Drosophila melanogaster: one gene and its partner. The gene in region 1 interacts genetically with each later gene. Each region holds a gene or a part of one and is shown on either strand. Other genes may lie near its edges.

Evidence for each region. Genes that interact genetically often act in the same process or in processes that back each other up.
Region 2: of pnt (region 1) and B-H1, changing one suppresses a phenotype caused by changing the other (phenotypic suppression), as found in Drosophila melanogaster (one study listed by BioGRID).

The regions. Positions count from the first base shown.
Region 1 is NT_033777.3:23,342,973-23,349,842, forward strand, and holds the start of pnt (pointed), read right to left. Parts: upstream 3,196-6,870; 5' UTR 2,426-3,195; intron 1-2,425. Other genes in the region: PolE1 (DNA polymerase epsilon subunit 1), read left to right, coding at 5,219-5,289, 5,351-5,477, 5,540-6,870.
Region 2 is NC_004354.4:17,395,970-17,401,204, reverse strand, and holds the start of B-H1 (BarH1), read right to left. Parts: upstream 3,728-5,235; 5' UTR 3,512-3,727; coding exon 2,689-3,511; coding exon of another isoform or gene 2,684-2,688; intron 1-2,683. UniProt on the Drosophila melanogaster protein: B-H1 and B-H2 are regulated by members of the wg signaling pathway; wg and dpp. B-H1 and B-H2 are coexpressed and functionally required in R1 and R6 receptor cells and primary pigment cells for normal eye development.

The DNA.
Region 1 (6,870 bases):
TTTATTTTCCGAAGACAAGGAAAATAAGCGATCGTCGCAGCAATTACAATAATCGTAAAAGCACATACTACGTAGATTAACTAAGTAAATAAGCCAGTGCGAATAACACTTGTGCCTCCAAGTGGCAGAGATTAATTTGGGTTTATTTAGTCAATTAATTAAAAGTGACTTGACAATTGTCCTTATCGATTCGCGAATTCCACAGTTTTTTTTTTGAAACCAATCAATCATTCATATGAAAATAAATTCCTCAAATGCAGATAAGTCCAGAGGGAAAATCGAGGAACAAATGCGTAAGTTTGAAAGTGGCACATTTTTCAAAAACCGCCTTCAAATCGCAGCATTTCGAGCACCAAAAATCATTCGGCAGGGTGCCAAAAACGAGTCGCAATCGCTAAAACTATCTGAACAAAAAACCTTATCGCCCCGACACGTAGATAACCGAACCGAAAAAAAAAAATAAAATAAAATAAAATATTATATATACGTATGTATGAGGGAGAGCGAGGGCGACAACAAAAAACCACACGAATCGAATTGAAACGAAAATCGGAGCATATGTTTTCCCTGGAAAAGAGCAAAATTTTTTGGGTTGGCCCATAGTAAGTGGACCAAACGAGTGGAAGATGTCTGGCAGTCCGAGTTTTTGATGTCTGGAGGAGAGTCTGGGCGCAGCAGATGCTTAAAGAACAGATTGTAAACGAATATGATCTTTTGATATGGTGCGCACTCCTCGGCCAGACGACAACGACAGCAACAACTAAAACACCAGCAGCGGCAACAAATAGGGGTGCAATTTTTCGATGTGTACGTAACGGTAGAATACACATTTAGTCGCTGCTCTTTTCTTTCCCAGCGCCTGGCCCTTTTTTCCTCGCGCTGAATGTAAAGAAGGGATCTCCGATCCGCTGATGATCCTCGGGATGCCTGCCTGTGTACACATGTGTTGTTCTATCTGTCGCAGAACAGTCCGAACTGCATGTGTGTGCGGAATATCTATGTGTGCGGAGTATCTGTGTGTGTGGCATATCTGTGCGAGTGTGTCGTCTTGTCTTGTCATGGGATCGATCTTGATCTCGGCCTGTCTGCAGCAGGTTGATACTTTTAGCATCGGTCCGGGCACAGAATCCGAGTTTAACGTGGCATGGGGCAACGAACCAGCCCGTCGAACATCCACTGAACTGTAATTGTCTGTGGGTATTTATGGAAAAGGATCTTGAACTGGTCTTTCATTTCGGACCAGACGCTCGAGGAGGGAAAGGGAGAGGAGCGGTTGGCGGTAGCTGGGCTCAATTATGATCCGACGATCGTCACACATCAAATTATCGATTATGGCAATAATTTCTTATCATTCCCTTGTGTATTTTGCTCGCAAATTGGTTTTTTTTAAATAGCCCAAGGGATATTAAACATGTCTTTAGAGTAGTTCAATGATCGTAACTCCTTAAATTATCGTTTTTTGGCTTTAAGACTGCGATAAGGACGTAAATCAAGTTTTATCATAGAAATAATAACAATTGATCTAAGCAAAATCTTATTGTAAAATTAATCATTTTAATGGTAACATTTTTATAAAATATGATATCGGTTAAGCCTTTAACTATCCTTTGATCTTTTTTGTATTAATAATTACTTTAATTTACATCCCAAATTGTAAGATCCTTTTAAAAACCCTTTCAGGTAACCCAAAGTGCAGAACAGGAAAGCCCCAATTATACATACTTTAAAACCGAAAGGTCAAAAGAGTAGCACTCCGGTATCAGTTTTATTGATACTTAATTGTCTAATGCGATCGCTGTGCTAGATTCTTGACCCTAACCAAAAACCGTTCACACATTCTCGATTACCAAACCCCTTGGATTGATGGCCCGAAACGCGATCGTGGGGCAGGCGAAGCTCATTTGCCGCACCGGAAGCTGTAAAAGGAACAGTAGTAATTTCGAGCGTGTTTCCCACAAGGGTTGTGGAAGTGCCCCACACACACACACTCACGCACACTGGCGGCTAACTAGCTTGGCTATGATGCCGAGTAGAAAACCAATTCAAATTCTGTTGGCCTGGCCAACAACGAGTTTATAGAGGCAGCAATCCTGAATCGAGGCGAGATCGCGAGATCGGCGGATCTACCGAGCGGTAGCCAAACCAGTTTTCTCCTAGATTCATTCAAGAAAACAGGCAACACCAACACAAAAAGGGTTTACATGCACTCAAAAGAAACTCTCTAAATTTCATATTTTTAAGATAAATATGATTTAAAAGTTATATTTCAAAACTATATATCAACAGCAATTAAGAGATATATGGTTTATTATTTGTTTTCAATTGTTTTGTCTTTTAATTTTCGCTGGATTTTTGTTTCGAGTGTAGGGAAAATAACAAAAACTAATACTTGAACTACTGTTTTTCAACACTTCACTTTTCTTACCGGTGCGGGGTAATAAAATAGCGCCCCTTCGTGAACAAGAAGGCGGGGGCTACTGGGCTCTTGATTTTTGGTTTGTGGGTTCTGGATTCTAAAGACCGTCTTTCGGTTGGCTTTTTATTAGGGTATCCAAATTAATTACAGCTTCAAATTAGGCGCACAATCTTGATGGACTCCGCAGCACCGATGACTATCTCTTGCTCGTTCTCTCTCTCTATCACGCTGTATAGATGTGTATGTTTTAACCCTCCGGTGGGATCAGCAGGTTGATTAGGGGGAGAGAGAGAGGGATTACGTGCCGGGCACAAAGACAAACGAAAAACCGAAAGGAACAACTCGAGAAGAAATCGGGGATCGGTTTAGCTCGGCTTATAAGACGCGAAAAGAAACAAACCGAAAAAAGGCCGACGGATCGCTGGCAAACACACACACGCGCGCGCACACTCACACTCAGGCACTCTCACGCGATGTTTGAGGAGATTTTTGTGGTTTTATGATGAATTTCGTATATAGAAATTGGTTTCCTGTGTTTCTGAACCGCGTTTTTTTTTCTGTTGCTGTTTGCCTTCCTTTTTTTGATGTATATTGCGCGCGCAGATCTTTAGATGTTTTGCTATTGCACTCATTCACTTACACACTGGGTTTTTGCTTGGCTTGCAAAGTGTTTTGCATTTGTTATTTATTTGTTATTTGATTCGTATAATTCATTCAAATCGAATTTACCGTAGCGCAAGTGCACGCTTCCCGAAAGAAAGACAAAAACAGACTGACCGACTGGCAACAGGCGGCAGCGACGCCGACGTTGGCGCAGACGCAGCGTTGACGCCAACGCCGACGCACCTTCTCTCTCCGTTTCTCTCTCTCTTTCTCTCCGCTGCTAAGATTAATATTTTTTTGTGTTGCTCTGGCAAGTGATAACAAAAATGGCAAATAATATGAAAATCGAGAGTTATATCAATCTGACTTATAAACATTATTCGCTATTTTACTTGATCGCTGGAATGAAAACGAAAAGGCGTGGGTGATCCTCAATCTCGCTATCTCTTTCGCACTCGCACTAGAGCGTGCATCATGAGCGCAAGAAAAAAATGGAAATCAGAATTACATATTTCGAGCAGCAAAAACAAAGTGTTTGCAGCGACAAAAAAATAGCAACAATTTATAAAAAAAATCTGCTTGCTCAGAACTCAGTGTAAGTGCGAATATGCGAGAGAGTGTGTGGGTGCGTGTATGTGTGTGTGTGTGTGTGTGCGGGCGATCGTTTTTGGCAAGCATTTAAACAGTGCCCAAAATCACTAGTATATTTAAAATATTTAGTATGCAAAGGGGGCGGAATAATAAAGACAAATATTTTAAAATTTGGCAGTCTCAGTCTTTCAATTGTGTACACTGATATAAAAATTTATTTATTTTGATTCTGGATTTTATACAAATCTATATTTTTGACAAATAAAGTAAATTGGTCAAAATATCAGTTCCAGCTTATTTAAAAGGAAAATTATACTAGTTTCTTTGTTATAATAATTAATAAAATATTTATTTAATATGAAATAATACCTATATGAAAATTTTGATGTGAGATTAAATTATCAACTTATTATTATCATTATTAAAGTTTGCACACAATGTGGGAAAGCTGCAGCTTGGGAAAATACTTTTGGACACCCCAAAAAAAGTTAAGCGCGATATTTTCCCACCGTGACCATGACAACCACTGTGCGTTCGAAAGGCTCTCTCTCTCTCTCTCTTTCGCGCAAATCAAAAACACAAACAGGTTTATGTGTGCGGAGAGTGTGTGCGACAGAGAGCGGCGATATGGAACTGAAACGACTGCAATGTTTTTATATTCCGGCAACGCATTTCGCATAAATTACAAATTACACAGCATAAGTGAATGCAAGTGCAGGGGCGGCAGTCAAATGGCCAGCTGCACCCAGAAAAAGGGCAATAAGATTCGGGATAACAAAACTTGATGGCGTTCCCGATTTTCCCGGCCAAGGGAGCGTATATGTACACATAAAAAAAAAAAACTTAACCAGCCTTGCATAACGAAACACGTGCAATAAAAATATGGCTGATTGTCAACCTCTGCTGCAACTTAATTGCTGCCGCAGAGGTAAAACTGAAAAACATAAAAGGGGGCGACAAGTGCAGCAAGCGAAAAAAAAGAACTCAAAGAGCGCATGCGCGCCGCTCTCCCACTCTCTCTCCCTCTCTCCACTGCGCTGGAATCTTACAACTCGTGTAGGTGAGCCGGATTTTTATGAATGAATGCGCCTGTGTGCGTGACTGCATGATGCCATTGCAGCGGAGAACTAGTAGAAAAAACTTCACATTTCAGCAGTTGGAAAACACATGGCCAACAGGCCAACTCAATTGGCCAGCAGCTGTCCTTAAATTGTCAGCAAATAGGGCATTTAATGCCCATTACAGGAAAATTATAGCTAAAATGGTCAAGCTGTGATGAAATAAACATAAATATTATATTTTATGATTTCATCAGATTTTAAGCATTATTTTTTTAATTTGTGTTAGGTGGAACTACAAAGCTAAGAATAATTGAGGATTTCTAGGTAAAACTTATATTCTTAAAACCATTTAATAATTTTCTTGTTTTCTTTTATTTGTAGTAACATTTTGAAATTGGCGCCAAACGTGTTACTTTACAGTGCTGTGCAACAGCTAAATGTCAGCATTCTCTGCAACGCGTTAGCACATTTCTGAGACGTTTGCAGATTTTTGGCGGCAACAAGTTATTTACATTTATTTATTTTATTTCTGCTAAACAGCACGGAAATGTCCGACTCCAGCAAAGGCAAAGTGCTGCAAAATACGGGTAAATTCGTCAGCGAGAATCGCACAGAAGGGTGAGTGGTCAAAGTTCGTGAATTTCACGCTGAACAAGATATTTTCCAATCTTATCCACAGCGACGACTTCTTCAATGAGGCGGGCTATCGTCAATCCCGGGAGAACGATAAAATCGACTCGAAATATGGCTTCGATCGGGTTAAGGACAGCCAGGAGCGGACGGGCTACCTCATCAACATGCATTCGGTAAGTTAGGAAGCCCATAAAACGTTGAAAATCATGTCCAATAATGGCTATGCCAATTGCAGAACGAAGTTTTGGATGAGGACAGAAGATTGATTGCTGCCTTGGACCTGTTCTTCATCCAAATGGATGGTTCCCGCTTCAAATGCACGGTGGCCTATCAGCCATATTTACTCATCCGACCAGAGGATAATATGCATCTGGAAGTGGCGCGATTTCTGGGTCGCAAGTATTCCGGCCAGATTTCTGGACTGGAGCACATAACCAAAGAAGATTTGGATCTGCCCAATCATCTATCCGGTTTGCAGCAGCAGTACATAAAACTTTCGTTTCTCAATCAGACAGCCATGACCAAGGTTAGAAGGGAACTCATGTCCGCGGTGAAGAGAAATCAGGAGCGACAGAAATCCAACACATACTACATGCAAATGCTGGCCACCTCGCTGGCCCAATCCTCCGCAGGTTCCGAGGATGCCACATTGGGTAAGAGGCAGCAGGATTACATGGATTGTATTGTGGACATAAGGGAGCATGATGTGCCTTACCACGTCAGAGTGTCCATCGATTTGCGCATCTTTTGTGGACAGTGGTACAATATCAGGTGCAGAAGTGGCGTGGAATTGCCTACGATCACCTGCCGACCGGATATTCTGGACAGACCCGAGCCCGTGGTCCTGGCCTTTGATATAGAAACCACTAAGCTGCCCCTTAAGTTTCCCGATGCCCAGACGGATCAGGTTATGATGATCTCGTACATGATCGATGGTCAGGGTTATCTGATAACCAATCGTGAGATTATATCATCCAATGTGGACGATTTTGAGTACACTCCCAAGCCGGAATTCGAGGGTAACTTTATAGTATTCAACGAAGAGAACGAGATGCAGCTGCTCCAGCGCTTCTTCGATCACATCATGGAGGTGCGTCCCCACATCATTGTTACATACAACGGCGACTTCTTCGATTGGCCCTTCGTGGAGACGCGTGCTGCAGTGTACGATCTGGACATGAAGCAAGAGATTGGCTTCTCCAAGCTACGGGATGGCAATTATCTAAGTCGCCCTGCCATACACATGGATTGCCTATGTTGGGTGAAACGAGATTCTTATTTACCTGTTGGATCTCAAGGCTTAAAGGCGGTGGCCAAGGCTAAATTACGCTATGATCCTGTGGAACTCGATCCGGAGGATATGTGCCGCATGGCCGTGGAACAGCCCCAAGTGCTGGCCAATTACTCTGTATCCGATGCGGTGGCCACATACTATCTGTACATGAAGTATGTGCATCCATTTATCTTCGCCCTAAATACGATTATTCCCATGGAACCCGATGAGATCCTAAGAAAGGGTTCCGGCACACTCTGTGAAACGTTGCTGATGGTGGAGGCTTACCATGC
Region 2 (5,235 bases), on another chromosome or scaffold:
ATGGTTTACCGAAAATCACTATTTGTTGGTGATTTGGTATGCCCATAAGGCTAATTCGATTTAGATCTCTGTGCGATCTATTAAAACAGTTGCAGATACAGTTAGAGGCTCGTTTATGGCCACGCAATTGCCGCTTCCGCTCACAAAGCGGTTCGTGTGTGTGTGAGTGTAATAAAAACGTGCCGCAAAATGTCTAAACTTGCCACAAAAAGCCGCAAGAGAGATAGGCAAGCTGACCAGGCCAAAGCACCCCTTTTTGCGAAAAGTGTTCTTGGCCAGAAAAGGCCGCTTTTCCACCTTTTCTGGCCAGCCATTTAGTACATAAAATTTATGTAAATTCAACCGATGGTGGTTACCCGATAAGCGAGAGCGAGTTTTTGGCCCATGGGCACGAGGGGGTTAAGGGGTTGACGCGGGCTAAGTAAACTCTCAAGCGTTAAATTATTTAAAGCGAAAACTTGCCAAGTGCCGCATTTAAATTTGGTCTAATAAGGCCTAGAAACGGGGAAATTAACAATCTTAGCATATTTTTGTTGTTTTAAGCATATAAATTTATCAGGAAGCAGACAAACAATAATAAAATCTTTTCAAGATTTTAATTTTGCACGATCCATTAAATAAGTGGACTCAATCTTTGTTATTGATAATGAGATACCAAGAAGTCAATATTATTTTATTTATTGAAAATCCAGCTATGCCTCTAATTGAACTTTGAAATATGAAGCAAATAAAGATGCATTGCTAATTATTTCTATTAATCATCGCTAATCAAGAGCTTATTTTGCCGCCAAGGCGAAAGTTGTTTACCATATAAAACGTAAACGATAAATGATTAATGGCAGCGATAAATGAGCGATAATGCCGCAATTGAATAAAATTAATTTGCAATTAAAGAAAATTACTCACGAATGTTGGCGCCGACTTGCTGAATTATCGATTTGCGGGCGATAATTTGTGGAGCGTTAAAAAAAAGGCAAAACCAAAAATCAAGAATTATGTGCCAAATAAAATTGGGCGACAGTGTTGTTAAAAAAAAACCTAATTTGTTTTTTTTTTTACAAATTTATAATTCAAATATAAGCTTTAAAAGTTAACTTTCCTATCTGATTTTATTATTATAATTATGATTTTTCATTAAATTTATAAATAAAATCTAGTGATCAATATTCATTTTGGTTTTTTTGTAACTGAAGCTGATCGCAATTGTGAAATTCCAATGAATTGACGGATTGCCGCCTTCCCTGCCCGCTGGCTGTCATCCCAAAAGAGCTGGCCGACGCGACTACCGTTTATAAAAGTGCAATTGGCAACAGGAAATTGCGGCAATAAATGGCACAAAACAGGGCCCAGATGGAGTGGAGCGCATGAGAAGCTGGCCAAAAGCGAAGTAAAACGAACCGAGTGGCGATGAGATGAGCAAACAGACTGCAACATTTTTTCGTTTGCTGCTGCCCGGCTGCCATTGCCATGGGGCGTCTATTAAAGCGGGTTAAATGCATTTTTATAACAATTTCCACAATTAAATGATTGCGAAGGGGGCAGGTGCGTGAGATAGGAGGAGGAAGCAGAGCGAGCGGCGAAGCGGGGAACAGTGAGTGCGATGTGTGTAATTATTTGAGATTTTTTCTGCGGCTGCGGCAGTTTTAAACTGCATTTTGTTGTTGCATTTCAGGCAGATCCTCTTCTTCCGCCAACCCCCCGCCCACTGCGAGCCACGCCTCCATTCTGCCATAATAGCTCTCAGATTCGCAGGTGCATGCCCCCAAGTTTGAGGAGGGGCGAGGAGGCAAGGGGACTTTAGAAGCTTCGCAATGACGGAAACAAAGCGTGAAAAAGTATTTTTTTTTTTCAACTAAAACCACAACAAATAGAAGCAACAAGAACGAGAATGTAAAATGGTCATGCAATAATTTTTACAGTTTGTTTTGCAAAGCGACATCGACGAGGGCCGCCGCCCCACCCCCGCGCTCCACACTTTAGCCCCCATTTCAGGCGCACGCTTCAATACAAAAGACTTAGGCAACGAACTTGACTGCTGCACAACGGACTTACTTATTTTTTACCTAATTGAATTACTTTTTCAATTGGCTATGATGAAATGCGTTTCACAACAGAACCATTAACACGATTTAAAGGGGAATTTGAGTAATTTTATTTTACGACTGCCTTTACACTCACTACATTTGAGAATTGGTTAAGTGCAAATATATTTAATATCACCTAAAGGGAATATGTTACTAAAACGCAATATCAATATCATTAATAAAAAATTTGCGTTCAAATTAAAAAATATTAAACTTATCAGATCTGCATGTTTTGTGTCTAGCTTTACAAAACAATCTGGACAACTGTTTAAAAAAAAAGGCAAGTGGTCGTAGAGTTGTAAAAATATCTGATATGTACTTTATAAGCTTAGCACCAGGCAGTGATAGCTTTATTTTAAAATGACTTGGATAATTTGAATATTGAATATTTTTTATCATAAGGCTCAACATTAATCAGATTTGTTGATAATTGGTTCTATTTCGACCCAATATTTGTTTATAAAACATTGCGAACTTGTTTTGAATGAAGAAAATTCCTGCTTGAAAATGCATTTTCGAGAATTAGCGAGAATGCTATACTGACCCACCACCCTCTAATGCCGCCAACACCCCACCCCCCGCATAGTACAGAGGCTCACCTCACCATTGCTACAAACGCTGTGATCGTCCATGTTGCCGCTGTCGCAGTCCTCGTTCTCCTCGTGGTAATCGCTGCTGTCGTCCAGATCGCCGCCCGCCGGTGGCGCCAGCCCCACCCCGCCATCCACTCCCCCGTCGACGGGTGGTGCGGCTACACCAGCAGCTGCAGCGGCAGCAGCGGCGGCTGCAGCAGCAGCTGCATTGTTGCGCGCAGCAGCCGCGGCAGCAGCAGCGGCATAGTGCTGTTGCATGGCCGCCGCATATTGAGCCACGTTTAACCCATTGCCGCCGGCGGTGGGTGGAAAGTGCCCCAGCTTGCCGTGCGGATGCATTAGCGCATGCGGATGTGTGTGCGGATGCGTGGGCGGATGTGGTTGTGGGTGGTGCAGGGCAGATGGCAGCACACCGACGCCAGCAACATTGGATGCCTCACAGTTATCGCCATTAATGTTGTTGTTGTTGTTGCTGTGAGCGGGACTGCTGCCGCCGCTGGAGCCCGAATTGTTGTTGTTGTTGTGGTGGTGCAACTGCTGGTGATGCTGCTGCTGCTTGTAGAAAGCGGCCGCCGCACTGCCCGCCAGAATGTCGTTGATCATGAAGCGGGACCGATTGGGCTTACCGATGCCCGAGGCGGTGGTGGTGCTGCCGCCGGAGGACATGGTGGTGGTGCTATGGATGCTGTGAGCCACCGCCGGTGGCTGCAGGCCGTAGTGGAGGTGGTGCTGGTGGTGCTGCTGCTGCAGCGTACTGAGGTGGTGGTGCAGCTGGGGATGCGCTGCGTTTGGCTCGCTGGGCGTTTGGGTGAGTATGCTCATCGAGTCTTTCATAGGACTTAGGGGGTTTCACTCTTTCTCCCTTTTCTTGCCGATTATTTATACGAATTATATTTGCTTTCAACACTTCACTAAAAAAATTCACATTCACTGGAGTTTCCTATAGATGTCAAGTTGTCTTCTATTTGTTTGTTTTTTTGTTTTCTTGGCCTTATCTCAACTTTTCACCCAGCGACGTCGTGAGCGGCTTGGCTGCCAAAACGAGACTGAACGTTTATGAAACGCACCTGCCCGATCCGCCGCTGCCAACGCTGCTGCCGACGCCGACTGCGGCTGAGGCTCGAGCGGCGGCTGTGGCAACAATTTTGCCACTTTGTCATAGGCGGTGGTTGGGCCGCATATGCTACCGAAGGCCGGAGGGGGATGGCCAGTCGCTCGCTTTCGCTGCCTCTCGCTTCCACGGCTCTCGCCGTCTCATCGGCTGTCACTCTCTCGCGCAGCGCCATGTTGCCGGCACCGTGGTGAATCCACCACGGCGTGGTGAAATAAAGTCTCTCCCCGGTTTCTCGGTTTTTATAGCACCAAATGTCGGTCAAACGCTCTTGAGCTCTTCAGGGCCTTGAAAAAGGCCTAAAATGGCGCTACGAGGAAGTTAGTTGGATCTGAGAGATGGAGACGATGCTACTGCATTACTATGTGAAGAGTACTCTTCTTTGTGAACAAAATATTATTCCAAAAATATTAACTCTGCTTTATGTTCACTGCTTTAACAATTAGACCATTAAGACATAAATTACCAAAACTTTTCAATTCCGAAATGTCAAAACATCTGTCTTTCCCATCACATAAGAATATTATAATACTTTTATATATATTCGCTTAGAAATCTGCGAATAACGTCAAGCCAGTAAACAATTTTATCAATCATGTTTTATCATTGATTTATTAAAAATAATCTTAGTCCCATTTGGCTTGACATATTTTAAGAGCTCCTTAAATGTGTTTGCTTTATATATTAGAACTTCAATTAACACCAAATTGTTCGATTTTTGAGTCGAAAAACCTTATACGCCCGACATTTGGGCGTCGCTTTTTTCGATTCCACGCTCTCAGACAACAAGATGGCAATTAAAATTTCACGCCAATAGCCCGGTGGTTAGGCTCACCTTTGGGTTGTTTCGGTGGCCACATGTTAGTCCAGGACTAATTGCAGGAAGGGAAGCGGAGCGGGATGAACAAATGCAATTTGTCGAGAGCGGCGGTTTCCGTTTGATTGATATTGATTCCGGTCGAGGAACTGAACCAACCTGGAGAGAACCATGAGCGGAAGGGGGAAAAGGTCAGGTGACCTGCGAAGGTCATTAGTGGCGGGGAAATTAGGGCGCCGGGGGCGGGGGTAAAGCGGACTGAAGCGCGCGCTTCAATTGCGGAGCGCATTAAAATAATTAGCGTCTGCCGGAGCATCAAATGCGAGGAAAAGTCAACCGAGTCCTTCGTCCTGATGACGGTTATTGCACTTAAATGCATATAATTGCCAGCCCAGTCGTATATCCTGCGGTCTGCGGTCGATTCGAGTTCGAACTGCCAATGCCAATTGAATGCTTAAAATAATTGCACTCGGCCAGCAATGTCAGCACTGAGAGAAGTTTAGTTTAGTATATTAAGTTAAAAACGAATTGGTTATAAAATATAATATTTAAATGAAGTAAGCCCAGAATTTGGCACTGAAAAAACCAAAAAATAAAGACAAAGACATAAGACAGAGACATAGGACCGAA